Anolis sagrei: one gene and its partners. The protein of the gene in region 2 binds, or shares a complex with, the protein of the main gene of each other region. Links are inferred from orthologs where the notes say so. Each region holds a gene or a part of one and is shown on either strand. Other genes may lie near its edges.

Evidence for each region.
Region 1: TAF1B (region 2) and TAF1D share a complex: the UniProt entries of both Homo sapiens proteins name them as parts of the transcription factor SL1/TIF-IB complex. The link is inferred for Anolis sagrei from reciprocal best matches to the Homo sapiens genes TAF1B and TAF1D.
Region 3: TAF1B (region 2) and POLR2F share a complex: the UniProt entries of both Homo sapiens proteins name them as parts of the pol I pre-initiation complex. The link is inferred for Anolis sagrei from reciprocal best matches to the Homo sapiens genes TAF1B and POLR2F.
Region 4: TAF1B (region 2) and TBP share a complex: the UniProt entries of both Homo sapiens proteins name them as parts of the transcription factor SL1/TIF-IB complex. The link is inferred for Anolis sagrei from reciprocal best matches to the Homo sapiens genes TAF1B and TBP.

The regions. Positions count from the first base shown.
Region 1 is NC_090023.1:19,473,283-19,481,182, reverse strand, and holds the start of TAF1D (TATA box-binding protein-associated factor RNA polymerase I subunit D), read left to right. Parts: upstream 1-4,266; 5' UTR 4,267-4,308; intron 4,309-7,105; 5' UTR 7,106-7,114; coding exon 7,115-7,170; intron 7,171-7,900. Other genes in the region: C3H11orf54 (ester hydrolase C11orf54 homolog), read right to left, coding at 1,543-1,600. UniProt on the Homo sapiens protein: Component of the transcription factor SL1/TIF-IB complex, which is involved in the assembly of the PIC (preinitiation complex) during RNA polymerase I-dependent transcription.
Region 2 is NC_090021.1:130,630,533-130,638,659, reverse strand, and holds the start of TAF1B (TATA box-binding protein-associated factor RNA polymerase I subunit B), read left to right. Parts: upstream 1-4,838; 5' UTR 4,839-4,974; coding exon 4,975-4,992; intron 4,993-7,108; coding exon 7,109-7,207; intron 7,208-8,127. UniProt on the Homo sapiens protein: Component of RNA polymerase I core factor complex that acts as a GTF2B/TFIIB-like factor and plays a key role in multiple steps during transcription initiation such as pre-initiation complex (PIC) assembly and postpolymerase recruitment events in polymerase I (Pol I) transcription.
Region 3 is NC_090025.1:164,562,800-164,570,687, forward strand, and holds the start of POLR2F (DNA-directed RNA polymerases I, II, and III subunit RPABC2), read right to left. Parts: upstream 3,477-7,888; 5' UTR 3,392-3,476; coding exon 3,372-3,391; intron 1-3,371. Other genes in the region: C5H22orf23 (UPF0193 protein EVG1), read left to right, coding at 3,516-3,540, 6,437-6,550, 7,669-7,731. UniProt on the Homo sapiens protein: DNA-dependent RNA polymerase catalyzes the transcription of DNA into RNA using the four ribonucleoside triphosphates as substrates.
Region 4 is NC_090021.1:62,172,077-62,180,354, forward strand, and holds the start of TBP (TATA-box-binding protein), read right to left. Parts: upstream 3,359-8,278; 5' UTR 3,121-3,358; intron 2,419-3,120; 5' UTR 2,263-2,418; coding exon 2,209-2,262; intron 1-2,208. Other genes in the region: PSMB1 (proteasome subunit beta type-1), read left to right, coding at 3,558-3,664, 6,205-6,312, 7,724-7,805. UniProt on the Homo sapiens protein: The TFIID basal transcription factor complex plays a major role in the initiation of RNA polymerase II (Pol II)-dependent transcription.

The DNA of each region.
Region 1 (7,900 bases), on a different chromosome or scaffold from region 2:
AAATTTAATTACCAATGGCCAGCAATTACAAATGGACCTAGTCAGCTATGAGAATACATACACTGTTCTGTCAAAACTCGTTAGGTTACAACCTTTTTAACGTTCATCCAGATCAGTGATACATTTATCCAGTTTATGAATCCTTTTTGTAGATACGGGCCTTGCAATAGCTGTGATAGAGTAACTTGCCTTTGCAGGTGCAGAATGCACCTTGCTGTAACTTTGATAAAACCCTGTATCAATCGACATTATTGACTGTAACTTTGATAACACATTTCAAATAAGGAGTTTCTCTGCAGGTGTTTAGGCAGATGAGGAGATTGTAACCCTTTATGGAAGGAGGGACCAATGGATATGGAAAAAAGGTATATAAAAATGTGCTGAACTTTGCTTATGTGTGCCTACTTACTAAGACAAGACACCTGAGGCTTGCAGGATCGTATGATAATAAAGCTTTGCTACTTCGCCAACTTGGTCCAAGTTTCTCTTTAGGCCCCAAAGACCCCTGTTTATATCATGTACATATATGCAAGGTTTTCTCCTTATTTTATACCAGTAAACATACCATACTAGAATCATAGAATCATAGAGTTGGAAGAGACCTCATGGGCCATCCAGTCCAACCCCCTGCCAAGAAGCAGGAATATTGCATTCGAAGCACCCCTGACAGATGGCCATCCAGCCTCTGTTTAAAAGCCTCCACCACACTCTGGGGCAGAGAGTTCCACTACTGAATAGCTCTCACAGTCAGGAAGTTCTTCCTAATGTTCAGATGGAATCTCCTTTCTTGTAGTTTGAAGCCATTTTGCTTTCTTCTCCTTGTTATTGAAAATACTACTTACGCACCATATACGGTAAATATTTTAGTCTTTACAGGTATTCCAAAATCCCAAACACTACGGTCTTAAGCATTCCTGGTAATGAATATTCAATCCCATTGGCTGACAGTGCAGAAAGCTTTCTTTCTTTTTTTAAAAAAAGTTTCTTGATTAGTACATCTGAATGTCAATTCAACTTGGAAAACTGAAATAATACCAGAATAATATTGATATAAACTTCAATTCTGGCAACCCATATCTTTATAATGTTGCAATACAGTAGAGTCTCGCTCATCCAACATTCTGTATTATCCAACGCTGTCTGCTGCCCGTCCGGATCCACAGTTGTTTCAATACATTGCAATGTTTTGGTGCTAAATTCGTAAATACAGTAATTACTACATAAAGTTACCGTGTACTGAACTGCTTTTTCCATCGATTTGTTGTAAAATGTGATGTTTAGGTGCTTATTTTGTAAAATCATAACATAATTTGACATTTAATAAGCTTTTCCTTAATCTCTCCTTATTATCCAAATTTTTCTCTTATCCAATGTTCTGCTGGCCCGTTTATGTTGTATACGTGAGACTCTACTGTACTTCTTGCAATGCAGTTCTGCCGACTCCCTCTTTATTACGTTATTGCAATACTTCTTGCAGTGCAACTCTGCCAACTCTCCTCTTTATTACACCATTGCAATAATGCTTGAAAAGCAGATACTCACCCCCAACAAGTTCTTCCAAAGTAGGTACGTGTAAAGCAAACTTCTCAACTTTGGCCATGTTTTATTTCACCTTGTAAAATTTGAAGCAAGCTGCAAAAGGGTCAGAGTACACCAGGGAACAAGTCAAAGATCTGTTAATGAACACACTGGCTTAGTGATTAAGCATAATGACACAAGCTGTATACACAAACTTCTTATGACTCACGTCATCCTTCATTTTATGAGGGACTAAAGGAAGGTTGTACATCTGTCTTCACCTGGGGGTGCATCTACACTAGGCATGGGCAACCTTCAACCCTCCAGGTGTTCTGGACTTCAACTCCCACAATTCCGAACAGCCTACCGGCTGTTCGGAATTATTATTATTCTAAAGTATTATCCAATCAGATAAGAAAAGCTGTAATAGCCTCCATGATGCCCAATTGGACAACCCATTTCTTGTAATGAGCTTCTTAGCTAGCAAAGCTGGTGTCTTTCCAAGACAAAAAAAGATTAAATACTGTTGGCTTTCTCAAGGCTAACATAGGTTGCTTCTACACCATAGAAATAATTTATTTCCTATATTTATATCCCACCCTTCTCCCCCCAAAGGGGGACTCAGGGCAGCCTAACAAAAGCATCATATGATGCTATCATCATAAAAACAACCACAGAACAATCAAAATGTTAAAAATTAAAACAATTAATTGAGACACATCCATTAAAATCGAAATCCAAAAACCAGTCCGGGTCAATTCATTGCCATAAGATGTGTGATCTTCTTTCATTTGTGCTCACTGATCAAACACTTGGTCCCATAACCAGGTCTTGATTTTCCTTCTAAAAGACAAGAGGGAGGTGGCCAATCTGGCATCTCTAGGGAGGGCATTCCATAGGCGGGGGGCCACTGCTGAGAAGTCCCTGTCTCTCATCCCCATCAACCATGTTTGTGATAGTGGTGGGATCGAGAGCAGGGCCTCTCCTGAAGATCTTAAACTTCGTGATGGTTCGTGGCAAGAGATACGTTCGGACAGGTAGTCTGGGCCAGAACCATTTAGGGCTTTAAAGGTTATTTATTTGTCGTGTCAGAGCAACGACTCCATTATATTACATTTCTAACAGAACAAAGCAAACAAATACAAAACTTGTGAGTGCACCAGGTGATCAGTGGTTTGCTGTTCTCCACACTCGCATGTTGAGGATTCCACTTTGTAGCCCCATTTCTGAAGGTTGGCTCTGCATCTCGTGGTGCCAGAGCGCAGTCTGTTCAGCGCCTTCCAAGTCACCCAGTCTTCTGTGTGCCCAGGAGGGAGTCTCTCATTTGGTATTAGCCATTGGTTGAGGTGCTGGGTTTGAGCCTGCCACTTTTGGACTCTCGCTTGCTGAGGTGTTCCAGCGAGTGTCTCTGTAGATCTTAGAAAACTATTTCTAGATTTAAGTCATTGATGTGCTGGCTGATACCCAAACAGGGGATGAGCTGGAGATGTCTCTGCCTTGGTCCTTTCACTATTGGCTGCCACTTCCCGGCGGATGTCAGGTGGTGCAATACCGGCTAAGCAGTGTAATTTCTCCAGTGGTGTAGGGCGCAGACACCCTGTGATAATGCGGCATGTCTCATTAAGAGCCACATCCACTGTTTTAGTGTGGTGAGATGTGTTCCACACTGGGCATGCGTACTCAGCAGCAGAGTAGCATAGCGCAAGGGCAGATGTCTTCACTGTATCTGGTTGTGATCCCCAGGTTGTGCCAGTCAGCTTTCGTATGATATTGTTTCTGGCACCCACTTTTTGCTTGATGGGGACATGAGAGAAGCCTCCTCGCAGGATTGCGGGACATCCGGGCGTCCCCTGGGCAACGTCTTCGTAGACGGTTGATTCTCTCGCCACAGAAGTGAAGCTTTAAAGGTTAAAACCAGCACTTTGAATTGTGCTCGGAAGCTGATCGGTAGCCAGTGGAGTTGGCATAACAAAGGAGTTGTATGTTCCCCGTATGTCACTCCGGTGAGCAATCTGGCTGCCAACCTGGCAGTCTTCAAAGGCAGCCCCATGTAGAGTGCGTTGCAGTAGTCTATTCGGGGATGTAACAATTTGATATCTCTTTAACTGCAATGGCACAATGCTATGGAGTGATGAGTTCTAGTTTAATGGGGTATCCTGCTTTATGTGGCAGAGAAGACTAAAGACCTTGGAAAACTACAACTCCAAGGTTTTCACAGTATTGAGACAGCAGTTAAAGTGGTTTCAATCCGCATTAAATTACAGTGTAGATGCAATTCATTAATATGAATTAAGTAAAACTTGTTAATACAAATCCTATGCAAGAAATGAGAATAACTGACATCAATTTCAAAAAACTCAAGGGATTGTGTGCAAAAGACTGGGCAAATATTTAGCAGACTTGCACAATTCTGTACATGCTTCAAAGCTCTATTAATATCCCTTTTAAAAAGTGCATTAAATGCCTGTTACTCAAAGCCCCCCATTTGCATGCTAAACTACTCACAAGACTGGAACGCGCTGCTGGGAACAGAACGCCACCTTTTTGCTCCTCGCGAGCCTCCCTCCTCGGAGAAGCCTCTCTAACCAAGTTCTAGTCATGTTACCGCTTGGGCGGTCCAACCAATCCCAGCATTCTACGCTGCCACTCTCAAGATGGCACTCGCGCCCGCGGCCCTCCTTCCCTCCTTCCCGTCAACCCCGAAACCCAACTCTCGCGAGAACGGCTAAACTATTTAAGCGGGCCCTCTTCAAGCGTTCGGCCTTGTTTGGCTTCGGGAACGGAACTGTTGTGAGTCGTGAATGAATAAGTATCCATTGTCATCCGCTTGAATTAATGCTCAGGTTAGAGCGTGGCCTGTTAATTGATAATTTAGGGATATTTTTTGTTTATTTTGGGTACGATATCGGGGTGATTAAGGGAAGATAAAGGGGTGAAAAGCGAGGTTGAGTTTCCTCCCCTCTGGCGCCATTGCTTCTCATGGGCCTTGGCTAGAATTAGGCTTTCAGATTTCCCTTAAATGAAAGGCCCAGGAGTCTTACACTCCAAATAATCATCCAATATACTTGCTTTCCAAAAGTTTTGGAATGTTAGTTTAATATTTCATATTTCATGGCATGGATTGATTTGTATTTTATAATTCCATGTTTGCATCTCAATTTCATATTTTATGGCATGGATTGATTGATTTGTATGTTATAATTTCATGTTTGCATCTCAATAAAGAGATACAAATAGAATATGCATAAATATAACAATTGTAATATTTTATTTACAATTGAATAGGCTTATATTTTATTTTTACATACTGCACTTATATATATATATAGAGAGAGAGAATATATATATATTTATATATAGAATATATATATATATAGTATATATGTGTATATTTATATGAATAAAAATGTAATGTTCATTTGTGGGATTAACATAACTCAAAAACCACTGGACGAATTGACACCAAATTTGGACACAAGACACCTAACAGTCCAATGAGTGACCATCACTCATAAAAACACTGAAAACTACAGCAGACGAGGCTTAAAAAACAAAAAATGCATTACAACGCATGCACAAAACCATCTATGTACACAAATATACATATATACACAAACATATACACACACATACACACACAAAACACATATACACAAGGGACAGTCACACACACGAATTTGTGCTATGTTAATAATATATTATTAGCATATACTAATATTGTGCTATGCTAATTTATTGTATGTACACATAATACTGATAATATAATGAAATGAAATATAATACTTATAATAATACTAGCTGTCCCCTGCCAAGTGTTGCTGTGGCCCAGTCTGTGTATATGTGTTTTGTGTGTGTGTGTATTTGTGTATATGTGTATATATGTGGTTTTGAGAATGTGTTGTAATGTATTTTTTGTTTAAGTCTCTCGCTGTGTTTTTCAGTGTTTTTATGAGTGATGGTCACTTGTTGGCCTGATAGGTTTATTGTATCCAAATGTTTGTGTATATGTGTATATATGTGGTTTTGAGCATGCGTTGTAATGTATTTTTTTTATTTTTTGGTTTTTTAAGTCTCTCCCGCTGTGTTTTTATGAGTGATGGTCACTTGTTGACCTGATAGGTCTATTGTGTCCAAATTTGGTGTCAATTCACCCAGTGGTTTTTGAGTTATGTTAATCCTACAGACGAACATTACATTTTTATTTATATGGATATAATTTTTATTTTTTGGTTTAAGTCTCTCCCGCTGTGTTTTTCAGTGTTTTTATGAGTGATGGTCACTTGTTGGCCTGATAGGTGTATTGTGTCCAAATTTAGTTTTAATTCACCCAGTGGTTTTTTGAATTATGTTAATCCCACAAACGAACATTACATTTTTATTTATATTGATATAATAATATTAACATATTATACTAATATTGTGCAATGCTAATAATATAATATATTGTATATACATATAATATTGATAATATTATAATGTAATGCAATATAATAACCATAATAATGTAATATAGTAATACTAATGCATTAAATATAATTGCTCCTGATAATATATAATATACTTTTAATTATATATTTTAAATTGTAAGATTTTTGATGGTGAGCCGCTTTGAGTCTGTATGGAGAAATAAAATGGGATATAAATAAGTTATATATATATATATATACACACACACACACTATATGCACACTATGTGTGTATATATATAGAATATATATAGGGGGAAATGCAATATAAGCCTATTCGGTTCAATTATATATGTGTGTGTGTAAGCTGCTGCCTTTTGGTGGTGCAGCGGCTTAAACCACAGAGCTGCTAAACTTGCTGACCGCAAGGATGGCAGTTTGAATCCAGGTAGTGGGGTGAGCTCCTGCTGTTAGCCACACCTTCTAGCAACCTAGTAGTTTGAAAACATGCAAATGTGAGGAGATCAATAGGTACCGCTTCGATGGGAAGGAAACGGTGCTCCATGCAGTCATGCCGGCCACATGACTCTGGAGGTGTCTATGGACAATGCTGGCTCTTTGGCTTAGAAACTGAGATGAGCACCACCTCCAGAGTTGAACAAGATTAGACTTAATGTCAGGCGAAACCTTTACTATATGTGTATAGACACGTGTGTGTGTGTGTGTGTGTGTGTGTGTGTGTGAGAGAGAGAGAGAGAGAGAGAGAGGCTCCGGTCTTGTAAACAATCCCTTGAGAATAAAAACCTGTTGATGTCAGTGAGGATCATTTATTGCATAGGATTGTATTGTTAGGTCCTTAATTCATACGTTTTAGTAGATATGAGGTGAATCTACATTGTAGAATTAATGCAATTTAACACCATTTGAGATTCCATTACTATGGAATCATGAGGGTTGTAGTTTTGCCGCCTCTATAAATGAATTGCCTGGCAATATTTTGAAAATGCCCGGTTTTTATGCCTCTTTTTTAGACTTATTATAAGGGTATTAACTTTTAGAATCTGAATAGTAAGAGGAAGCTCCTTGTTTTTTGTAAATGTTCTCTAACTTGCAATATATTTGCTCTCAAGATTTTCAAAATACTAACATTTCTCTCCTGATTCCCCCCAATTCTATGCTAGGAGCTGAACATGGCTGATATTTGTGAGACAGAAGACTCTGCTGCACATCACCAGGATTCAAAAAAGTGAGTCCTTAATCTGTACATAAAATTGCAAGGTGTCGTCATAGGGTTTCTGAAGTGCAGCTGCATCTATTACCTGTATTTGCAATCTTGGCTGAGCTTCCTGGTAGAAAAGTTTCTAGCTGTAGGGCTTGCAACTTTGCTAAAATTGAAATTATTCAGTTTGCATATATTATCTGTGTGTCGTTGAAGAATTGTACATCCTGTGTGATTTCTTCCAGTTGGTGAAATATGCTTCTGAGTTACTAGAGTGTATTATTATGTATTATGGCAGGCACGGGCAAACTTTGGCCCTCCAGGTGTTTTGGACTTCAATTCCCACAATTCCTAACACAATTCCCCATACAGCATATCAAATTGTTCTACCAGATTAGGTTGATGGGAGATACTATATTTTTATTTATATCCTGCTTTTAGTAGGGTTATCCAGAAAATAAGGTTACAAGGCATGTAGCTCTCGCAGGGAATTTTCTTGTGGGAAATTGGTATTGCTGTGTGGGAAGCCAACGGAGGCAAATGAGCAGTGCCAGTCGTCAGTAGCTCATCAACTGATGTGAAGGTTAGAGATGAGCATCCTCATTCCATTTCCCTTCAAGTGCGAAGTTTGCGTTGTAATACCTCAATGCAAAGGGCACAAATGCTGCCGCGGTTCATCACAAAATTGATTCAGTTTATGGAGAGGACGTAATGTCAAGAGAGCATGCGACAAAATGGGTACAGAATATATTGTGAG
Region 2 (8,127 bases):
TGATTTCAGCACAGTGTGCCCACAAATGGCTAGGAGTTCTCTGTGGCCATTTGGCAGCAGTGATGGCAACAGGGAAGGTCAGGTGACAGTGCAGCCAGGGAAAATTGGTTTGACCCAGCTGGACCATGTAGACTCCACTCTGCCACTACCGCAGGTCAGGGATATTTTGCGTGGATGCTTCTGAGCCCATGGGCTGGCTTTGGACTGGTTCCACAATGACTAACCAGAGTAGATGAGTCCATGGATTATGTACAGCAGAATGGAAAATCAGCTGTGTAAGTCTCTTGCAGTTTTTGAAAAATAGACAACATTTTCTGATTTTCCTCCCAATCTCTTCCTCTTTCCAAAATATGCCAAGTGTTTCTCATGAGAACAAATTATTAGTAAGGACCTCATCCCATGGTTTGCAGAAAGAGTGTATGCGTGGTGTATTGTCATAGTGTATTGTCCTGTTGCATTTGAAATGAAATCGGATAACATTTCCAACTCCATTATACATTCTATCTTTTTACCATTTCTATTATCTGCATTCTGAGATATCACATGAGCAAGTGTAGTCCCTGTCCATTCCCCATTCTTGCTTTTCCTGTTTTTATAGAGGAAATTTCAAAATTGCAGAAGTCTAAAACCTCATGGAACTTTAAATACCGTAAAGGAGTAATAATGTCTATTTATGTAGTAGTAGTAGTAATTATTATTATTATTATTTTGTTATTACATTGTTATGAAAAAATGAATTACATTATCAATCTTAAAATTATAACTTTTATCACTAATGTGATATGAGCATTACTTATGGTATACTCAAATTCAAGGCAAAAGTAAGTTATTATAAATTGTCTAGGGCTTTCTAAAAGACTCACATTACTACTTCCTATAATTTGTTATAAAAAAGGGAAAAAAGTTAAGAAGATAGCTATGGAGCAATTTGGAGAGCCAAGGTTTCAAGGAAGGAGAAAATACAGGAATGGTTAAGTGGTGATATTTCGAAATCGCGCAATTCCTGGTGATTACATTAATTAAAAGAAATTACCATGAAAGGATTATTCAACAAAACTTTAGGCGAGTAATGGAGCATTGATGCCCATTTGGAGACCACCCATAGAAACACCTATTCCTCGGTGTCACTAAAATGAGGTAACTTGGAAGAATCTGACAGATCCCATCCCACATGTAAATAAGCACCTTCTGCTATTTACGCATGAATCAGGAGCTCAGAAGATATTTCTCCCTGACTCCAATTCTCCCCATTTGTATACACTTTTAAAACACTTCACAGATGGATTACCATGGACAACAGGAAGAAGTCATTTTGTGTCGTATGATGAGCTCTGTTTTTAAAGTGTATAGAAATGGGGGGTGGGGGGTGGTGGTAAACACGACTTGCATCTGACGAGGTCCTACACCTTCTTGGTGAGCAAGAGATAATTGTGGGCTCCTCAGATAACTCTTAGCAGAGACACTTTGAGGTGTTATTTGACACAGGTTGCTTGTTTCCTGAAAGCAAATGCCTTGACATTTAACATGTCACCAAAGAGAATGGCTTCCTTATAATTAAGCATGTCTAACACCAAAACCTAAACAGTGTGTGTGTCAATGGTCTATTCGGCTTTGGGAAAATGGGAACCAGAACAGTAATATTAGCAGTGGAATCTTGTTCATTAGAAAGGAAGCCTGGAAGAATCCACCGGGCGTGTATTTATCTGAGTTGTGTATCAAGCTGCGTGTACTGCATATAACAATCTTAATTAGAAAAGTGAACTGAAGCAAGAAGACAGACTGTCTCCTTACTCCAACATTATCATATTCCTATCAATGTCTCCTTATACTTAGGTAACATATAATTATAGACAAAGGTTAGCATATAATTGTATATGTTGAATAACTGGTTATATGTGTATGTCATTATTTAAAGGCAGGGTTGGCTTTCCTCCAATTGGTGTTTGAGCAAGGAAGAGTGAGTGGGAAAGAGGGAATCGGTACCGAGTGATGAACATAGGGGTTAATTGAACAATGAACAGCCATGAAATAAAATACAATAACAATGGTTTCAGAGTGTGTGCTTTTTAAAAAGAATACATGTATATACAGGTTGAGTCTTCTTATCTGAAACAGTAGGACTAAAGGTGTTTTAGATTTCAGATTATTATTTTGGGGGGATTTTGAAATACCTGTGTTTGCATATATGTGCTTATGAGATCCAAATCGAAGCACAAATTTCATTTATGTTTCATATACACTTTACATTCATAAGTATATATGAAAGTAATTTAATACACAATTTTAAAACAATTTTGTGCATGAAGCCAAGTTTGTGTAGTTCAAATTGTCAAGAAGCAAAGATTTCACCATTTCATGTGTACACTTTTGGATTTTGGAGAATTTTGGATTTTGAATTTCGAAATTCCTGACAAGGGCTGCTCATGCTGTATTTCGCATTCCAAACGGAAACAAAATTTACTTTTGAGTTAGAAATGAATGACTAATGCCCCTTCCGGCAAACTGGTGAACATGTGAGCAGAACAAGGAAGGCCTGTGTAGAAGACATATTGATGGAGAGCCTTGGGCTGATTGTCTCTCTTCCTGCTCAGTCAAGGACTGAATGTTAACTGAGGCATGTTGAGAGAAGGCAACTAAGGCCCCTTCCACACCCGAATAAAATCCCACATTTTCTGTGTTGAACTGGGATATATGGCAGTGTGGACTCAGATAACCCAGTTCAAATAAGATATTGTGGGATTTTCTGCCTTGATATTCTGGAATATAGGGTTGTGTAGAAGGGCCCTGAGTCAAAAGCCAGAAAATACTATTGTTTTCAGGGCACCTGATCAAAAGGTTTGAAACTGGCCCGTAGCCAGTTTTTGATTTGGGGGGGGAGGGGGGGGGGCTGAGTCTGAGTGAAAGAGGGTCTACCCTAGCAAACCTTTTGTATTGTTACCCCAATACCCCCGTGCATATGGGATATATTGAGCATGGTGATCAGATCATGATATGAATAAACATAACAGTTTAAATAATGTACCAGTAAGGCCTTTTCGCAGACCACCATGAGAATTTGTGTGGACATAGAGTAGACTTTTCTCCCCCTTCCTGCCTCCATCCAATCCAACTGCCATTGACTTAGAGCCCTTCCACACAGGTTATCAAGGCAGAAAATCCCACATTATCTGCTTTGAACTGGGTTATCTGAGTCCACACTCAGATAATGTGGGATTTCCTGCCTTGATATTCTGGAATATAAGGCTTTGTGGAAGGGACTTAACTGGGTTCAAAACTTATCTTCTTTAATCTCAATTATATGAGTCTCCACTTCCAAATAATCAAGGATAAGAAGGTAATCTGGGATCAGATCCTGGGATATAGGACAGTGTGGAAGGGGCCTTATAGGGAGTCTTAGGGCTCTTCCACACAGCCATATAACCCAGAATATCAAGGCAGAAAATCCCACAATATCTCCTTTGAACTGGAGTATATGTCAGTGTGGACTCAGGGCCCTTCCACACAGCCCTGTATCCCAGACTATCAAGGCAGGAAATCCCACATTATCTGAGTGTGGACTCAGGGCCCTTCCACACAGCCCTATATCCCAGACTATCAAGGCAGGAAATCCCACAATATCCACTTTGAACTGGATTATCTGAGTCCACACTCAGATAATGTGGAATTTGCTGCCTTGATATTCTGGGATATAGGGCTGCATGGAAGGGCTCTCAGATAACCCAGTACAAAGCAGATATTGTGGGATTTTCTGCCTTGATATTCTGGAATATGTGTGGAAGGGCCCTTAGATAACCCAGGGTCCTTCCAAACAGGTCCTATATCCCAGGTGTTCTGCTTTAAATTGGATTATACGAGTCCCCACTGTTAGATAATCTGGGATAAACAGAAAACCTGGGATCAGATCCTGGGATATAGGGCCCTTCCACACAGTTATAGAACCCAGAATATCAAAGCAGCTAATCCACAATATCTGCTTTGAACTGGGTTATCTGAGTCCACGCTGCCATATTGTTGCTGTTGTTCATTTGTTCAGTCATTTCTGACTCTTCGTGACTTCATGGACCAGTCCACACCAGAGCTCCCTGTCGGCTGTCACCACCCCCAGCTCCTTCAAGGTCAATCCAGTCACTTCAAGCATACCATCCATCCATCTTGCCCTTGGTCGGCCCCTCTTCCTTTTTCCTTCCTAGGTATAACCTAGTTCAAAGCAGATAATGTGGGATTTTACTCAGCCAGGCATGTAGCCGGGGGGGGGGGGGGGGGGGGGGGGGCCTTGAGGGGCTTCAGCCCCCCCCCCCCCCGAAATTCTCATGGTGGTTCGCGAAAAGGCCTTCCTGGTGCATTATTTAAACTGTTAATTCATATCATGATCTGATCACCATGCTCAATATATCCCATATGCATGGGGGTATTGGGGTAATGATACAAAAGGTTTGCTAGGGTAGACCCTCTTTCACTCAGACTCAGCCCCCCCCCCCGAAACTCAGCCCCCCCTGAAAAAAAATTAGGCCCCCCCACCCCGAAATGAAATCCTGGCTACGGGCCTGTACTCAGCTGTGTGGAAGGAGCCTTTGTGTTGATATGTCCTCCCATTCTGGAAGGCGAATGGAAGATCAGTTGCCGAAAAGAACCACATTTACACTTACTAGGCCACATGTTCTGCCATCTGGGCTTCCTTATCAAAATCGCTTATGACTTGGTAAAGAGAGGCGAGTGTCAACTGCTGCCTTTTTGACTGATTTATCCCACATGCACTTTTCTCACACGCATCCCATGGGGTGTGCTTGAAGGGCGCGCCTCTTTCCCTGCAGGGGGCGACGAGCGACAGAGAGAAGCCGCTGCGGTTCGAGCCTCGGAACCAAAGCACTCGGAGTGTTGTTTCCCGGCCGACTGTTTTTGAGAGCGGACCGCTCATCCGGTGGGCTTCTCTCGCACCGCGGGGACCATCGACGGTGGTCTGGAAGGGACTTTCCGATGGAGGAAGAGGAGGCGGTGAGGCTAGGCTGAGGGAAGGGGGCATTTCGGGGAGAAGGAGCGCTCCCTGGAAATACTGGGGGCCCTTCCATACAGCTGAATAAAACCCCACATTAGCCGCTTTGAACTGGAATATATGGCAGTGTGGACTCAGATATCCCAGTTCAAAGCAGGTATTGTGGGATGTTCTGCCTTGATATTCTGGATTATTGGGATGTGTGGAAGGGCCCAGGGAAGGAGAGCAAAAACCCACGTGGAGCAGACAGCAGGCCCTTCTACACAGCCCTATAACCCAAAATATCAAGGCAGAAAATCCCACAATGTCTGCTTTGAACTGAGTTATCTGAGTCCACACTGCTACATGTTCCATTATTTATTTATTTTATTTACACAATTTCTACCCCTCCCTTCTCACCCCTGAGGGGGGACTCAGGACGGCTAACATGGGCAACAATTCAGTGCCATAATATCAATACAACAATGTAAAATCAAATACATAGCAAATTAAAACAGTAACATTAATTAAAATCACATACTTATATACTAACAAAGTTGCCAAATCAAGTCACATAGCCGTTTCCAATTGTCATAACAATCCTATGGTCCGGGTTCAGTATCTAAAGTGCTGCTGTGCCCACTAGCCAAAGGCCTGGCTCCAAAACCACGACTTTAGTTTTTTCCTAAAAGTAAGGAGGGAGGACGCCGATCTGATCTCACTGAGGAGCGAATTCCACAAGCAGGGGGCCACTACCAAGAAGGCCCTGTCCCTCGTCCCCACCAAGCGCGTTTGTGACACTGGTGAGACCGAGAGCAGGGCCCCCGCAGTAGATCTTAAATTATGAGGTGAAACATAGAGAGAGATACGTTCGGATAAGTAAGCTGGGCTGGAGCTTATTTATCTGAAGCAGATAACGTGGGCTTTTATTCAACTTTGGAAGGGGTCTCAATGCTACATAATGCCAAGAGTTGCAGTTTGGAGAGGTACCAGCACTCTTTGGGCCCTTCCACACAGCCCTATATCCCAGAATATCAAGGCAGAAAATCCCACAATATCTGCTTTGAACTGGGTTACCTGAGTACACACTCAGATAATGTGGAATTTTCTGCATTGATACTCTGGGTTATAGGGCTGTATGGAGGAGCCCTTTGGCTAAAGGCCTTGTAAAACTACAACTCTCAGGATTCCATAGCATTGATCCATGTCAACAAAAAGTGTGAATCTGCATTAGTTTTACAGTGTAGATGCACCTTAAATGGGATGCTAAAAAGTGAGCATTTGAGGATATGTGTATTTTGAGAAAAGATGCAGCCAAGTTGAGGGGGAAAGTGCATGCTCCATGCCTATACAAGCAATTATTACATAATTAATAATAAAATGATATTTTATGTGTTACTTGTCTTTTCTCACAGCTTGAGATGAGGAACAACACAGTCAAAACACAACACTATAAAATACATGTCATAAAATCAATACATTAAAACACACCATTGAAAAATACATAAATTAAAATACAATGCAAATAGCTATATTAAAATATAAGTAGAATGTAAAGTTAAAATTCACCATTTAAAATGTATTGGATTCAGGACTGTTGATGTCTGCAAAAAAGGAAACTAAGAAAATTGCCACACCTACGTATGAAATTGGACAATACCCTATTGATATTTTTTAAAACAGTAAATTATAATTGTATAGGAAGAACTTGGCTGTCCTTTGGGGTGTCCAGCTCATCATACAAGTCTGTATGCATCCAACATTTCTAGTTAAAGTCCAACTATCTTACAGTGTTTATAAACAACATCTTTAGATGGAGAAATCTAAAGCTAATTAAATTAGGTGCTTCATACCACAATCCAATGCATTTTGTTTATATAAGCCTAAGCCCCACTATGCTCAATAGAATGTGCTTGTTGGTAAAGGTGCATAATACTTGGGTGCAATTCTAGGCACACTTACTTGGAGGCCCTATTGACCACAATCCACTTCATTTCTAAGTGAACACAGTGATTTTTGTGTGATTATTACATTTAAAGGAGATATTTCTCTCAAATCTTACTTCCATGTCAGTTTATAGTGTGTTTGATTAGTATGAAAAGTAGGTATTTACATTAAAATTGATTTTATTGTTTTCAGAGAGATTTTGATGAACCTTGTGCAAAATGTATTTCTGTCGACTGGGGTGTTACAGAAGAAGGCAAATTTTACTGCAGATCTTGCCACACGGTCACAGAAGTAAGTAATGATCTATGCTGTTATCCCCTTCCACACTCCTAAACTGTGAATCTTTAGTTTAAAATTAAATCATCAGCATTGTCTGGGATCTTTATTAATGATCTTCCTCTGACTAATTAGTGACTCAGAATACAGATGCATATTACAGCCAAAAAATACACCCAAGAGTCTAGAAGAGTATTGTTGTACTGTGTAGGATTCTCAGCCAGGGTCTGCATCCAAGTCAGATTTGTGCATAAAAAGCTGTTTTCCTTCCAGTTGCTTACTTGGGACCGATTTTTGCAGCCTCTGCTGCTGACTCCATTATATTCATAATTAATTTTAATCATGTCATATTTCCATGCTTAAAGGAAAATGTCTGCAAGTATCTGGATGACAATGCAGTGATTAGTAGCGGCCAACATGGGTTTGTCAAGAACAAATCTTTCCAAACTTACCCTAGATCTTTTTTTTTAATTGGGTCATTAATTTAGTAGGTGGTGGGAATGCTGTGAGTGCCATTATTCTGGCTTTCAGCAAACTATTTGATAAAGTCCCCACAATATTTTGATTAGCAAATTGTCTAAATATGGAATAGATGGAAATGCCATCAGATGGATCCATAATTGCTCAAGGAGTTGTTGTCAATGGCTCTGCTTCAGATTGGAAGGCAGCCTCAAGTGGAATGCCACAATTTGCAAATGATGCAAAACTGGATGGGGTAGTCAGTACATTGGAGGACAGGAACAGCATTCAAAATAACCTGGAAAACTGGACTAAACTTAATAAAATGAAGTGTAACAGAGACAAATGTAAAAGTCTACATTTAGGCCACAAAATTAAAAGCACAGATAAAAGATGGCAGATACTTGGTTCAACTGTTCTGTGAATAAAAAGGATCTTGGGATTACTCTTGATCATAAATTGTACATGAGTCAGCA
Region 3 (7,888 bases), on a different chromosome or scaffold from region 2:
AGATGGAGGACACAATGCTCTGCGCTGCCTGAAGAGTCTGCTCACTGAATGGGTCTTCGTTGTGGAGCCTGTAATAGTTTTCCAACAAGGCGGCTGTTTCAGGAGTAATGCCCTGGAGGTAGTGGGTTCTGCAGCCTCTCGGTATAGAGGCCCGTGAGCAGGTTTTCACTATTTCAATAAAATGTTCGTATTCCTCAGGGATTGGCGCGACCGATGTGATCATGTCGTCTAACATGTGCGATTATTGTCATGGTTGGTCCTGAAAAGGACCGTTGGTTGTTTTGCTTCCTTGTTTGCATGCTTCAAGTCGTCTCTGGTTGCTTCTGGGTTGAGAGAATCGGCCGTCTACGAAGACGTTGCCCAGGGGACGCCCGGATGTCTTGCAATCCTGCGAGGAGGCTTCTCTCATGTCCCCCTATTAAGAAGATTTCACCTCACATTCCGTCCCTGTGATAATTGAAGTGTGAAAAATTGGGCTTGTTCTGGAAACAAGAATTGGTGATAAAGACACCTTTTCCCCATGATGCTCTTTCAGGAGTGAATTTCCCTTCTGAGGGGTATATTTCTCTCACTTCCTGTTGTCTCACCCCTGTTCTTAAGTATGAGTCATTTGTAGGCCAGATGTTTGTAACTCGGGGACTGCCTGTATTTAAAATGGTATATTACCTCTGTGTGTGCATAAAAAGACTCAGTACCGGCAGTCCTTTTGACTCCACTTTAACTGACATGGGGTCCTTCCAGACAGGTTCTATATCCCAGAATGTGATCCCAGGTTTTCTACTTTAAACTGGTTGAGTTCATACTGCCAGATAACCTGAGATAAACCAAAACCCTGGGATCAGATCCTGGGCTATAGGGCCTGTCTGGAAGGGCACCTTGGTTGCATCTCATGCAGTTTTATGAAGCACCTAATCCCATGCCCTCTCTCCATTACTGCAGATGGCACTTATTTTATTTCAATGTTTACACCCTGGCCATGGTGCCAGTAATTTACTGTCATGGTTAGAGGATCGCAGCTTGACTGAATCTGAATTTTATATGTACAAGTGTTTTATTTTATTGTATTTTGTATTGTGTTCACTTTTATGTTGATTTTTAGGCACTTTGTGCCATCTGTAAGCAGCCCTGAGTCTCTTCGGGGAGATGCTGGCGTGATACAAGAATAAAGTTGTTATTGTTATTATTATGATGAAGGACTCCAGCCTTAGGGTGTATCCACACTGTAGAAGCAATGCACTTTGTAATGGCCATGGCTCAGTGCTATGGAATCCTGGGACTAGCCACTTCGTCACACTAGAGAAAAAAATCCACTTCAAATCCGGTTTCTTCCCCCTGCAGAATTCTGGGATTTGTAGTTTAGTGAGACTGTTAAAGTCCCTAAATTCTGCAAGAGGCAGAAATTGGATTTTATCTCTAGTATGATGAGGTCTATGTTCAGTGCCTTGAATAGCTTCCTTAAAACTAGAAGTAGATCTACCAGTCTTGCTCGTATTTTATCTCATCACAGTTTTTAAATGGTTTTATCCTGTACATGTGGCCTGCCCACTGTTATCGTTATTGTGATTGTGTTTATTAGAATGTTATTTTAAGACTGCTTTTTTTCTTATTATTATTAATGTGCTTTGATGTTGTCATTTGTTGTTTATGTTTTGATTTTATTGCTGTAATATGTTGTCCAGGCTTGGCCCTGTGTAAGCCGCTCTGAGTCCCCATTGGGGAGATGGTGGCGGGGTATAAATGAAAATTAATATTTATTATTATTATTACTGGTCTGGAAGCCACCAGCCACAACTTCATGCATGTCAACAAATTTGGACCCTTCAGGTGTTTTGGACTCCCACAATTCCTTAAGCGGCTGAGAGGGGGAAAGGAAGGGGCCTGAGGCTGTTAGGAATTGTTGGAAAGAAAGTCCAAAACATGTAGAAGGCTCATGTTTGCCCACGCCTGCTGAATGCACCACTAACTGCCATGGCTCAGTGCTAGGGAATCCTGAGACTTATACCAGGCCTTCGGGCAATTAGGTTAAAGGACAATTCATAATATTTGACTATAGCTTGGAAGTGGATTTGGATAAGTTAAGTGGAGTAATCATTAGTATATGGCTAGATAAATAGCCACCAACAGCTAAATGGATCGCAAGTATACTGTTTAATCTTTATTTATTAATGTTCATGTTTTTAATTGTTATATTTGCTATTTTGTATTTTATGATGCGGCATTGAATTATTGCCAATTGGAAGCCGCCCTGAGTCCCCCTAGGGCAGTGGTTCTCAACCTTCCTAATGCTGCGACCCCTTAATACAGTTCCTCATGTTGTGGTGACCCCCAGCCATAACATTATTTTAGCTGCTATTTCATAACTGTAATTTTGTTACTGTTCTGAATTGCAGTGTAAATATCTGATATGCAGGATATATTTTCATTCACTGGACCAAATCTGGCACAAATACCTGATAGGCCCAAATTTGAATACAGGTAGGGTTGGGGGGGGGGTTGATTTTTCATTTGGGAGTTGTAGCTGCTGGGATGTGTAGGCCACCTACACTCAAAGAGCATCTTGAACTCCAAAAACGATGGAATTGAACCAAACTTGGCACACAGAGCTCCAATGACCAACAGAAAATACTGGAAGTGTTTGGTGGGCACCGGCCTTGAGTTTTGGAGTTGTAGTTTACCTACATCCAGAGAGCACTGTGAACTCAAACAATGATAGATCTGGACCAAACTCAGATGCTCAATTATGCCCAACTGTGAACACTGGTGGAGTTTGGTGAAAATAGATCTTGACATTTGGGAGTTGTAGTTTCTGGGATTTATATTTGACCTAAACTCAGATTATTCTGAACCCCGCCAACAATAGAATTGGGCGAAAACCTCCCACAGAGAAGCCCCATGACCAACAGAAAATACTGTTTTCTGGTGGTCTTTGGCGACCCCCCCCCCCCCCCAGGTTGAGAAACACTGCCCTAGGGGTTGAGAAGGGCGGGGTAAAAATGTTCGAAATAAATAAATAACAAGGACTTTGGCTTTATCTGCCAAAGAGACCTGGTGCCTCACCTAACTACAACTCTCCGGACTCCATAGCACTGAGCCATGGCAGTGGTGTAGTGAACTAATTCTGCAGTGTGGAGCAGGCCTCCTCACACCCCCGCTGTTTGGGCCTCTAACTCCCCGAATTCCTGACTACTGAGCAAGCTGGAGAAGGTTTCTGGGAGTTGGAGGGCCACAGTGCGAGGCCCGGTGTAGAGCCGGCTCTCAGTCAACTGCAAATCCTAGGGCCGGGCCCAGCTATCCTACCGGTGGCAGGTCCCCGGGGCCTTCGCTTCTCCCTCCCTCGCCGCCAACACAGACACAGAGGCATGCTCGCTTACTTATCCTCGTTGTCGGACATGTTGACACGATGAGGCAAGGCGCGCGCACCACCGGCTCCTGCTTAAGCAAGCATCTTCCGCGCGCGGGACTACTTCCGGCGTAGGCCTTGACGTCAGCGGAAGCGGGCGAGGGAGCTAGTTGCCATGGTGACGGGAGCCGCCGGCTCGAGTAAGCGTGAGGGAGAACCGGCGAAGAGCAAAAGGCATGTGGTCACCCCTCGCCACCTCTTGAGATTTGAAAATAACAATAAACTCCCTCAAAACTCGGATGGGGATTAGGCTGTTGTGGGGGGCTGATAAAATATGGAGATTATACAGTTGAGTTGTGGGGTGATTGTGTCTCCTCTTCACTCTTCCGTTTTGGACTTCAATTCCCAGAAGCCCTGGTCATCTTGGCCAACAGCGTGGAATTCTGGGAGTAGAAGTTCAAAACATCTAGAAGGCCACCTTTTGGGGAAAACCGAGGGTCCTTCTACACAGCCAGATAACCCAGAATATCAAGGCAGAATATCCTACAATGTCTGCTTTGAACTGGGTTACACTGCCATAGAATCTGGTTCAATGTGGATTTTATACAGCATTATGTAAGGGGCCTGAAAAGAAAGGCTCTTGCTTTATCATATATTACCTATATGTAATATGACATATTATGACATATTAAGGGGCGGCTCAACCCATTACGCAAAGTAAGCATTTGCAGTATAGTTGATTTTGCCCAGGGGTGCTCTTGGGGGAAAATAGACCTTGACATATGCAAGTTGTAGTTGCTGGGATGTATAGTTCACCTCCAATCAAAGAGCATTCTGAACTCTACCAATGATGGAATTGAACCAAATATGGCACACAGAACTCCCACGACAAACAGAAAATATATATCAGTGATTGGTTGGGGGGGGGGGGGGGGCAAAATACTGTTTGCTTAGCGTTGAAAATTACCTAGGGCCGCCTCTGGACATATTGTTATATATATGTCATATATATAATATGACATATTACACGTGTCAAAGAAATGACAAAATCAAATGAGGTCCCTTTTACACTGCCATATAATCCAGATTATCAAATCAGATAATCCACAGAATCTGCTTTGAAGTGGATTGCATGTGTCTACACTGCCATATAGGATTAAGTACATCTATATGCACCAGGGGTCCACAAACTTTTTAAACAGAGGCCCGGGTCACAGTCCCTCAAATTGTTGGGAAGACCAGATTATAATTTGGGGGGAAAAAATGAATGAATTCCTTTGTATTCTGCACATTTCTTATTTGTAGTGCAAAAAACAATACAATAATTAAAATGAAGAACAATTTTAACAAATATAAACTTATTAGTATTTCAATGGAAAGTGTGGGCCTACTTTTGGCTGATGAGATAGGATTGTTGTTGTTGTTGTGTGCTTTGAAGTCATTTTAGACTTAGGTTGACCCCGGGCAAGGGCCGGGTAAATGACCTTGGAGGGCTGTATCCAGCCACCGAGCTTTAGTTTGAGAACCCCTGATATGCACCCTCGCCTACCTGCAAATACCTGTTAACCTGCTGTTTACCATCTCCCCTCCAACAACTTTAGTCAATTTTTAGAAATTTTAATGAGATTTTAATGATTTACTATGTAATTATGTGTATTGTGTTATGTCTTGTTTTTTTAGTTGTTTTATAATTTAATGAGTTGATTTTTGTTTATTTATTATTGTCAGCATTGAATGTTTGCCATTGTGTATTTTGCTATAACCCACCCTGAGTCCCTTTGGGGCAGGCTATAAATAAAGTTTCATTTTATTTCATATACCGTAATTCAGTTCAAAGCAGATAATCTGGATTTTATATAACAGTGCAGAAGGGGCCTTAGAGATGAAAGAGACCAAAAAGGTTATTCCATTCCTCACATTAGAAGGGCAGTCCCTTTCGCAGCCCCATCCAGCAATTTATGTAGATTTATATGACATCAATTCATGCCTGATTCATTCCATTATGGAAGGTACAAATATGTCCTGTGTTTAATACTGTTTTAATGTTTGTATGTTTTAAGTTTTTATTTACATATTGTATGATTTTTAATGGTAGCTACTTTGAATCTTCTTTGGGGAGAAAAAGCGGGATATAAATACAAATAACAACAACAACAACAACATCATCATTTAGGTTCACTTTATTAAAATGGGTGAGGTGGCATAATAACTTTAGTCCACTCAAGCATGCGAGCCAAGCTGCATAGTATAAAAGAACTCAATCCTGTTGTGCCGTGGCACTGTCACTTGCCTGTCTTGACTTTAAAAAGCTGTCAGGATTTTTTGGGGACTAACCCTGAAAATCAATCAGCCTTCCATATCAACAGGTTCTGTATTCACAGAGTTAAACATCCACAGCTTGAAATATATATATAAGCAAATTAGTCCAATAAATATTTCAAATAGCACAGTTTACAAACAGCACATCTCAAATGTTGTATCTGCTGCTGCTTACAACTTGCCCAGTGCTCTCAGAACACATATCCACCCAAGTTAAAAGGCAGCTGGAAATAGTGGGTTTTGCAACCTTTTCAAAATGCAGCTAAGTGTTACCATTGCATCTCAAAGATTGTGCTATAGATACAAATACTATAAAGACCCTTCTTTATTTGAGGTTTACATATCTCACACTGAGGTCTAAAACAATTTGTGAGGAAGCCAGTATGGAGAGATTCAGTCTGCAAGTATGTGAAAGCTTAAGTTAAAACTAGCACTGAAAATTAGGTCTGGAAACACAGAAGTGTGGCTTATACATAATAAACACGAGCAGGACGGATTGCTTACATGGCAATCAGACCCGAAATGTGAGCAAAATTATGCACTGTATTTTCCAAAGTATGTCTCAATGTATACACTTTATATCTTTTTTAAAAAAACCTCTAATGAAGAGAAAAAAAGAAAAAAATCCTCAAAGTGATAAACTTTTAATGGACAAATGGATCCTACAACATCAGCTGATGATGTTGTAGGATCATGTGGTAGGATTGTACAAAATTCACCTTGGAATCATGATCCTGACAGCTATAAAAGATGTATTTCTTCATTCTTCTTTTCAAGGTATAACTATGACTTCCCGAGAGAGAAACATACCAGCTGTGGCAAAAGGCACTGGATTCTGGCATGCACCCACTGGGATCAAATACAGCCGAGAAACACAAGAACTGCTAAAAGGTACCTGGAGGGTGACAGGAAGATCAGAATGATATTAAGGGTGCATCTACACTGTAGAACACAGATTTACACCATTTTAATGATCATGGCTCAATGCTATGAAATAGTAGTAGTATTAATAATAATAATAATTTATTACCTGCCTCTCTTTGCGATTCAAGGTGGGGTACAACAGGTGGGGTACAGCAGAATGATAAAACACAACATTATTAAAATGCATATAACACAAAACCTCACCATGAAAATGTAGATTACAATTCAAAAGTTAAAATAATGAGAGCTGTCGTTTTACAAGGTCTTCAGCCTCTTTGCTAAAGAGTGCCTGGTACCTCACCAACTTACAAGTTCCAGGATTGTAACATTGAGCCATGGCAGTTAACGTGTTGTCAATATAATATATAGCCCTTGCCTAGCTATTATACACCCTGCTTTGCAGTACTGGAGCATGTGCTCACAGTGTCCTATATAAACTTCACTGTGCATATGGGTCTTCAGATCACATGCATATTTAAATAATCATATACAGCAGCCAATGGATATTGATACAGAAGTTTAGAAAAAGAGCAGATGGCACTGACCACTTTCACAGTCTGCAGTTCCTATCATATTGGTCACTTTTTCTCTGCCTTCCCATCTACAGGGAATCTGCTGTCTCTTTGAATAATGTAAGACTCTGGGTTAATATGGGCAACAATTTTATATAGATAATGTGGGAAACTGGCAGTTTTCCCCCTAGAGTCCCAAGTATCAGCATCATGTTTGTGACCTCTGGCTACAACTGTTTCTTTCTATTTTGGAAATTAGACAGCTAGTGGTTCATGAAACAGCATTTGTCCACTGGCAGCCACTTTGAGTATAGTCAGATATTAGCCTTCCCTATTGTAGTGATGCCCAAACGTGTTGGACAGCAAGCACTCAAACTCCATACGTATTTGTACCCTAAAACATGTGAAGAACACTGGATTCAGGAAAGCTGATATAAATGCTATATTTAAAGACCTTGATAGCATCTTCTAATTACCTGGAGACATTCCCAGAGACCAGAATTATCTTTCCTACACAGCTTATATTTATGTTTATTCCTGTGAAATTAGTGTCCTTTTTTTTTTGTATTTCAGTGATGATGCAAGAATCCAAGCTTACTAGCTTCCAGCAACGTCATCTCGCAAACTGCATGAAACGTGAGTTCTGCCAGGGTCCAACTCTTTCTTTACAGTTAGCTGCTGGTTATTAACCAGTTTCCAGAGTTCTAATTTTGGTTCACTCTCAGTCACATGAGCCATCCTTGAGCAAAAAAATTAAATCACACCCTTGGAAAGCAATCTTACATAGGCTCGA
Region 4 (8,278 bases), about 68 Mb from region 2:
TGTGCAGGAGGTACCTCATAAGTCATATGGCCTGGAATGTGGATGTCTTGAACCCACAAGAATAGGGTAGCATGTTCATTAAAGAAGAAAGATTGATGTTGGCCTATAAATGCAGAGGACCCCAAGAGTATGCATGCTTCCTGATCCATGGCAACGGGAACGTCCACACCTTCTCGGAGGAAAGCTGATCACATTCGTCCAGAGGCCTGTGTGTGTATGAGTATGTGTGAATGTTTGGAATGTGTGCATGAGAGCTCTCTCTTGATGTGATTCTATAGTGATTGTATTTCAATAAATGTTACATGAATAGTGTTAAAACCAAATTTGGTCTCTAAAGTGTCGAATTGATCTAAACTATCTTACTATTCCTTGAACACTCTGCACAAAAGAACATTTATGTAGAGATGTGTAGTGCTGCCAATAACCAAACTAAGCCAATGTGGGAGCTGTGCAGTAATGCAATCTTCAGCCCCTCTTTTACTGGAACCCTGGGCTCACAGAGTTCTTTTAAGTTAGTGGTACCCAATCTTTGGCTCTCCATATGTTTTGGACCCCATCTACTAGGATTCCTGTAAGCCAAACTGAACTGGGGAATATGGAAGCTAAGATCCAAAACACCCAGAGGATCAAAGTTTGGCAACCACTTTAGGCAAAGCATATTTCTCATGGTACATTAACAAGCTATGCACACAGTTCAAATTACTGCTTGAAGCTAATTAAAGTGTATTTAGAAGTAAGAAGCCTTATATATGCTCTTGCATGCACTACTGCACCTATTCCAATGGTTCCAGTGACAGCTAAGATGACAGAAAAAAGATATATTTTATCTCCTTCCTCTACAACCAGCCAAAGGAGGCCATGAAAGAGACAAAGCAAAGAAATGTCTCAAAGACCTGTCTTGGCTCTTGTTCCTTTCATACAGACTGGTATCTAAACCTATGGATCTTGGACTGTCATATTCACTCTGCTCATGGATTATGGTCTTCTTGTCTGGATGTTCCCAGAGGGTTAGATTGGGTGATCATACTTTATCAGCTCTCACTTCAACACTGCGATGCCACAGGGCTGTGTGTTAAATCCTCAGCTTTACACTTTGTAATCCCATCCACCATACCAATATTATTACCAAATTCGCAGATGATACAACCATGGTGGGGCTTGTGTCTGAAGGGGATGAGTCTGCCTATCAGGATGATGAGGTGGATTGGTTGTTCTTGCGGTGCAGGGACAATAATGTGGTTTATAATATCAATAAGACCAAGGAGCTGATAGTGGACTACAGGAAGAACAGATCAGAAATCCAGCCCTGGTTCATAAATGGAGACCAAGTGAAGTGGGTGGCCATTTTTAAGTTCCTGGGTGTCACTATTAAAGAGGATCTGACCTGGGGCACACATATAGCAATGTTGGTTAAGTGGGCCGAGCAGAGACTATACTAGCTAAGACTTTTAAGGAACCAACAACTGAATGAAAAACTGCTGGTGACTTTCTACTGCTGTGCTATAGAGAGTGTCCTAGCCTACTGCATCTGCGCATAGTTTGGTAACTGCACAGTGCCAGATAGGAAGGTGCTCCAAAGGTATAGGCCCCATAGCCTTAAGAAAGCTCAGAGCATTATTAAAGATCCAGCTCTCCCAGCATATTCTTTTTTTTTTTAATTATTGCCATCTGGCAGATAGTACAGGGTGACAAAGACAAGGGCAAACAGACTGAGAGATAAGATTTTATCCTAGAGCTGTGGCTATGTTGAACTCCATGGTTTCACACTGATGTGGCATTGGGGGCTGTGCAGTGGTGGTTAGAGTGTGGTGGGATGGGTGGTTTGTTTTTGTGATGTGTGCTGGGGAAGGCATTTAGTTTTGTTGTGAAATAGTACAATGACAATAAAGCTCTTCTATCTTGTTCCATTCTGTTCTTGTTCCCTTATGAGGATGGAAAAGTTGAGGGTGAGCAAGATCAGTACAAAGGAACTTACAGCAAGGATACCAAGGAGGTTGGGGAAGAAAACAGATTTGGGGACACTAGTTTTGCACTATAACTTCTAGACTGGAAGCTATAATAAAAAAAAAAACAGCTTTTCCAACTTTTTGTAAAAATAATGAGAAAGGCCTGGAGTTAAATAACACATGCAAGATTTCATTTCACTGTGTAAAGAACTGCCTTTGAAGGTTCTATTTCTTCATAAGTTGTAAGTTCACACATATTTACCTGAGGGGATGCTAGACCCTGGGCATAAGGTGGTATACTGTTGTTTTGATCCATGGCGGCGATCACGTCTCCAGCTAAGTGATGACCACAAGTTCAGGTCACTACAGCAAATTTAGACCATCTGCCTTAAGGAATCTGATGTCCTGGCAATGAGTTATGCAGTCAGCCTTGGCATTTCTGGAACTACATCAGCTCACAGGTGTCCAAAGCCTAGAAGGGAGAATGGCTCATGATACAGAGTTTGCAACAAAACTCAGAACACAGATTACCCCTGTGTTGCCTAAACATTTCACAAAATATTTCTTACGTACTTTCAAAAATAGGTCCATTACCAGCATAAATCTTTGCCAGTTCTATAGTTCTGCATTGATAAACCTCCCCCTCCCCCACAATCTCACATATAATTTCACATACCACATAGACAACATACATGGTGGGAAGTTACCTATAGAATTATAACAAATATTTAAACTTCTTTGAAAATGCAATGATTTCAACTCCACTCTGAAAGATTGTGAAGTAACAGCTTCTCAGATTACTTTTTTCATCTTTTTCTTTCAAACGTCAGCCCTCCTTCCAGGTGTTTTGGACTTCAACTCCCACAATTCCTAATAGTCTACCCCAGGCATGGGCAAACTTTGGTCCTCCAGGGATTTTGGACTTCAACTCCCATCATTCCTCACAGCCTCAGGCCCTTTCCTTTTCCCCCTCAGCCGCTTAAAGGAAGGGGCCTGAGGCTGTGAGGAATGATGGGAGTTGAAGTCCAAAATCCCTGGGGGACCAAGGTTTGCCCATGCCTGGCCTACCGGCTGCTTCTGAGCTGTTCAATGTCCAACCGAAGGAATGCCACTTGTTTGGGGGAGCCCTTTTCCTCAGCCACAGCGCACACAAGCAGGCCCCGTCCACACTGACCATTTATTGCAGTTTGAAGCTGGCTTCCAACCGCGGCGACCAACACGCAACTAACTCCCACAAAAACGAGTAAAGGTGAGCCCCAAAGGCGCCTTGTACAATCCCCGTCCGGGCCTCAAACTGGGATCCAGGCGCGTTTCCCGCTCCGCCGCCTTTCCTGCCCGACCTCAGCGGTGCCTTCGCTTCTCCGCGCTCGTTCTCTCAGGCGGCAGCGGCGCACACTTATCGCGTCATCCAAACACGCCCAATACACAACTCCCGGCTCGACACCTCCCATTAGTGAGTGGGGAGGAGTGGAAGAAGCTTGGAACGCGCATGCGCAACACAGCGACACCTGCAGGCGGAAGGGTGAAACGTACTGCCGAGGAAAGGAACTGAAGGCGACTTCCGGTTCCGGGGCGCCATTTTGCCGTGAGACAGCACCCCAAGGAGGAAGGATGCTCTCGACAGGTGGCTACTTCGAGCCCGCGCTCGGCCTGGATTGCGAGACGAAGCAAAGAGCTGCCGTGCAGAGGCGCTTCTCGCCTTACACCTTCAATGGCGGGTGAGTCCCAGGCCTTTGGGATTAGAAGGGGTTGGCAGAGGCTTCCCCTTGGCCGCCCAGCGGGGTCCAGGCCCGAGCCTTCAGCTATGGTTCTCAAGCTGTGGGTCCCCAGGTGTTTTGGCCTACAACTCCCAGAAATCCCAGCCAGTTTACCAGCTGCTAGGATTTCTGGGAGTTGAAGGCCAAAACGTCTGGGAACCCACAGGTTGAGAACCACTGAGCTATAGGATGAAGGCAGTTTCACCCCGCCTTGCCTGCCATGGCTCAATACTCTGGCATGATGGGCGTTTCAGTTTTGCCAGGTCTTTAGCCCTCTCTGCCCAAGAGAGCCGGTGCCTCATTGAACTACAGTATCTCGAATTCAATTTCATTGAGTTACTACAGCTAAGGCGGTGTCAAACTGCATTAATCCTAAAGTGTGTCTGCCCCCGTGGCCTCCAGAGTCTAGTGCTCAGACCACGATGTTTATGTTTCTCCAGGATCACAATGGTTTCACTTTCTCACTCGCTGTCACCTATTTCAAAAATTCTGTTTAGTTTTTCTTACTTCAAAATGTCCCCTGCAGTTCCTAAGTTTCCAACATAGAAAAAGCTGAGGGATGTGACCAGGGAAGCATTTGCACAGTTAAAACTTGTGCGCCAGCTGAGCCCATACCTTGGGAAGTCTGACTTGGCTATGGTAGTCCACTCTCTGGTTACATCCCATATAGACTACTTCAACGCTCTCTACGTGGAGTTGCCTTTGAAGACGGCCCGGAAGCTTCAACTAGTCCAACAAACAGCAGCCAGGTTGCTAACAGGAGCATACAACCCCCTTGTTGCGCCAGCTCCACTGACTACCGGGCCCAATTCAAAGTGCTGGCTTTGGCCTATAAAGCCCTATATGGTTCTGGCCCAACTTGTAAGGGGAGAACGTGTCTCCCCTTACAAACCATCAAGGACTCTAAGATCGTCTGGGGAGGCCCTGCTCTCGGTCCCACCTTCGTCTCAAGTACGCTTGGCGGTGACTAGAGACAGGGCCTTCTCAGTGGTGGCCCCTCGCTATGGAATACCCTCCCTAGGGAGATTAGATCTGCTCCCTCCCTCTTAACGTTTCGGAGGCGAATTAAAACATGGCTGTTCGAGCAAGCGTTTACAAATGCAGAGTAGCTAATATAGGAAATCAAACGATTTGACAATGGAACTGTACAGTGCTTGATAATAATGAGACGCTAATGTTGTTGTTTTCATTGCTTTTGTGGGGTTTTATATTGCTTAATATTTTAATCTGTGTTATGTTTTTATATGTACTGATTTGTTGGAAACCGCCTTGATTCGCCGATTGGCTGAGAAAGGCGGTATACAAATACAATAAATAAATAAATAAATGTGGTTTAAACTAGCCTAATGAATTCCTATGCACACTACATATCTTATTTGTAGTGCAAAAATCACTTTAAAACAATACAATAATTAAAATGAAGAACAATTTTAACAAATACAAACTTATTAGTATTTCAATGGGAAGTGTGGGCCTGCTTTTGGCTCATGAGATAGGATTGTTGCCGTTGTTGTTGTGTGCTTTCAAGTCGTTTCAGACTTAGGTTGACTGTGAGCGAGGGCCGGGTAAATGACCTTGGAGGGTCGTATCCGGCCCCTGGGCCTAAGTTTGAGGACCCCTGGTCTGATCTGTGTAAGTTCATTAGGACTAATAAAGATATTCTATACCCCTTCCCTCCTTGTCTGGACTTTTCTTCTGGACCTGAGGGCTGCCTCATTCATGAAGACCCTCCCCCCCTCCCAAAGTAGTACTGTTGCTCAGGCATGTAGTAACTTTTATTCCATTGCTTCATATAAGTTCATTTTCTTGAGAACCATGGCTAATAATAATGCAGCTCCAGATATTAAACTGCAGGTCTGAGTGGACCTGAACAGTTTAGGCAGAGGTGATAAATCCTGTGAATTTCAATTCTGCAGAGCCCTGGTGGTCTTCATAGTTGTCTTTTGTTGAAATTATTGGGATTTAAATGTACACAGATGGAACCTATGTTACTTGCTAATACTTTTCTAACTAGTGGTAGTTGCTAACACTATTTCAGTTGCCCAAACTGGGATAACAGCATAAGGAAAATATAGCTAACATCTTAAACATTGGCAGTTATTTATCCAGAAGCTGGAATTTCATGTGGATTCTGAGCACTACATTTAAGTTGTGTGCCTTCTTTTTCTCTTACATGTTTATTTTGGAACCTCATACATTTCCTAAGGACAGTGGGCTTTTTCCATGAGAGCTCAATTGCCTTACTACTTCATCTAAAAACATATTCAGGAAAAATTCAAAGAAAATCCTGGCATTAAGTACAGCATCTCCAAACCACAATCTTGAGCATTTTACTCTTGTGCATGGCAGTTTCAGACCACCCACCTTACTTTGGAACACTAGAGAACACAAAGTTAAACTTGTTTTTGGAGTCTTTTGATTTCAGGTTACATATATTAATTAGTTTAGCTAACATAAAATTAGCAACATCTTGCATTTTCTGTCTTTTTTTTTCTTGAAAGGACTATATTGGCCATTGCTGGTGAAGATTTTTCTATTGTTGCCTCAGACACTCGATTGAGTGAAGACTATGCTGTTCACAGCCGGGATAGTCCAAAATGCTACAAGCTGTAAGTTGAAATTATGTTATTTTGTTTACTCTTCATAATTGGAATCCTGTTAGTGAGGTGTGTGTAAATGCTGTAAATCTTCTACAGATGAAGCACATGGTGCTATTCTGTAGGCCTCTGTGCAACATCCAACATTGCTTATCCCTTTGACAGCTGTCAAATTTTAGGGAGTGAGCATAGAAGCTGCTGCTTATCCATGGAGAAAGGAGAGAGCAGGGAGGCAAGTCAACCATAATTCTAAGGGGAAGAGTGTTCTCTCATTTCCTTCCTCCATCAAGTCCAAGCAATTGGTCAGTTTCTGAATTGCCACTTTGCGTGCTCTCTCTCTCTTTCTTTTGCACAGGTAAGAAGCACAATCAGCTTTTTACAGAATTGTACAGTTCTGGTGGGGAGACTTGGGACAGGATAGGCCTTTGTAACCTACCAGAAAAAGATATATGCTGGTGTGTATGGCAGGCGTGGAACTGTGTGGGCAAAGCTTTCTGCTGTTTCTGCTTGATGTATGACCCATGGCCTTGTTTGTGAATGCTTGTTTTGATTTCTTACAAGCACAGCTGTAATATTTGCTGAACTACCTTTCTACATATACCTGTTTTGTGGAAATAATAAATACTTTCCTTATCTCTTTAAATTTTGTGAAGAATCTTGCCCTTTTGTGGCTTTGAGTGGATCAAATGCTGCCCAACACCAAGGAGCAGCAGGAACTGAGAACAGTTTCACTTTTGATATCAAGAGTGTCTTGATCTTTTAATGTTTTAATTTTGGCCAATGTTCTTTAAATTGAAACATGAACATATATACTTTAAATGTGTATATGTTTCAAGCTGCTACTGCAATTTTCTTTTAAGTTCAAAACCTCTCTATTTTTAAGCCCAAACTTCTTGACTTCTTCCCTAAAATCTTGATAGAGTTGACTTGTAGATTACTTAGGTAAAGTGAATGTTTATTCAAAATTATTTCAGTACATGTTACCACAGGGGTGAACAATCTAGACAGGATACATTTGTGGAGTAAGTTGTACATCTAATGTCACTATACCTTGCATAACTTAAAATTTAATGAGCAATATTAGGATGCCACAGGATATACTTAGTAAATGCCAGCACAGGGCTTACACTGACCATTTAATGTGGATTCAAAGTGGTGTTAAAGAAAGTGGTTTTGCTGTGTAGGTGATTACATAGGAAATCCTGGAACCAGTTTGAGGCTGGGAAGGTGATTACATACAACACTGAACATCCTGTTAAATTTTACTTCCTGTGATGTTTTAAGATAAACTATATGAAAATAATGCTTGATTCTGAATGATACTCTTATTTGGCTTCTCCAAGTGCTTTAATGAATGACCTATATAAGAAAAGATATCAAGATGACTAAAAAGAATATCCATTTTATGTTTGTGTTTATGTAGGACAGACACAACAGTTATTGGCTGCAGTGGATTTCATGGAGATTGCCTTACGCTTACTAAAATCATTGAGGCAAGATTAAAGGTATGAGATTATGAATGTTTCCAAATGAAACTGACCGAACATTTGCCACGGATCAGCAAAGAAAATGATAGCTTAAAATGGCATTGTATCCAGTGGTATTGTTCTGCTTTTATCCTTCCTGGAGTCTTGTCTTTATCCTTACAGAAGGGTCAAATCTTGTACTTGGGATTATGTTTTCATAAGTCATTTCATATGTACTTTGACCATTTGTTGTGACTTCTGTAAAACTAAGTTTTTTTGTGCATTCGTTCTGTTGAAGGAATGGTCAAGATGTATTCATGGTTCCACATATAGTTCACCCGTGGTGAGTTGTGTTCCCCTTGACTCCTTCCAATTTTCTAAACTACCCTTTTTTGCCCTACTTGTTCCTTCAGCAAGTGGCTAGCAGTGGCATTTTAGCTTTCAACCAATGTTAAACAATTTGCACCTCAGCTATGGTCAGCCTTATTTTAAATTGCCTCATCTTTGGTGAT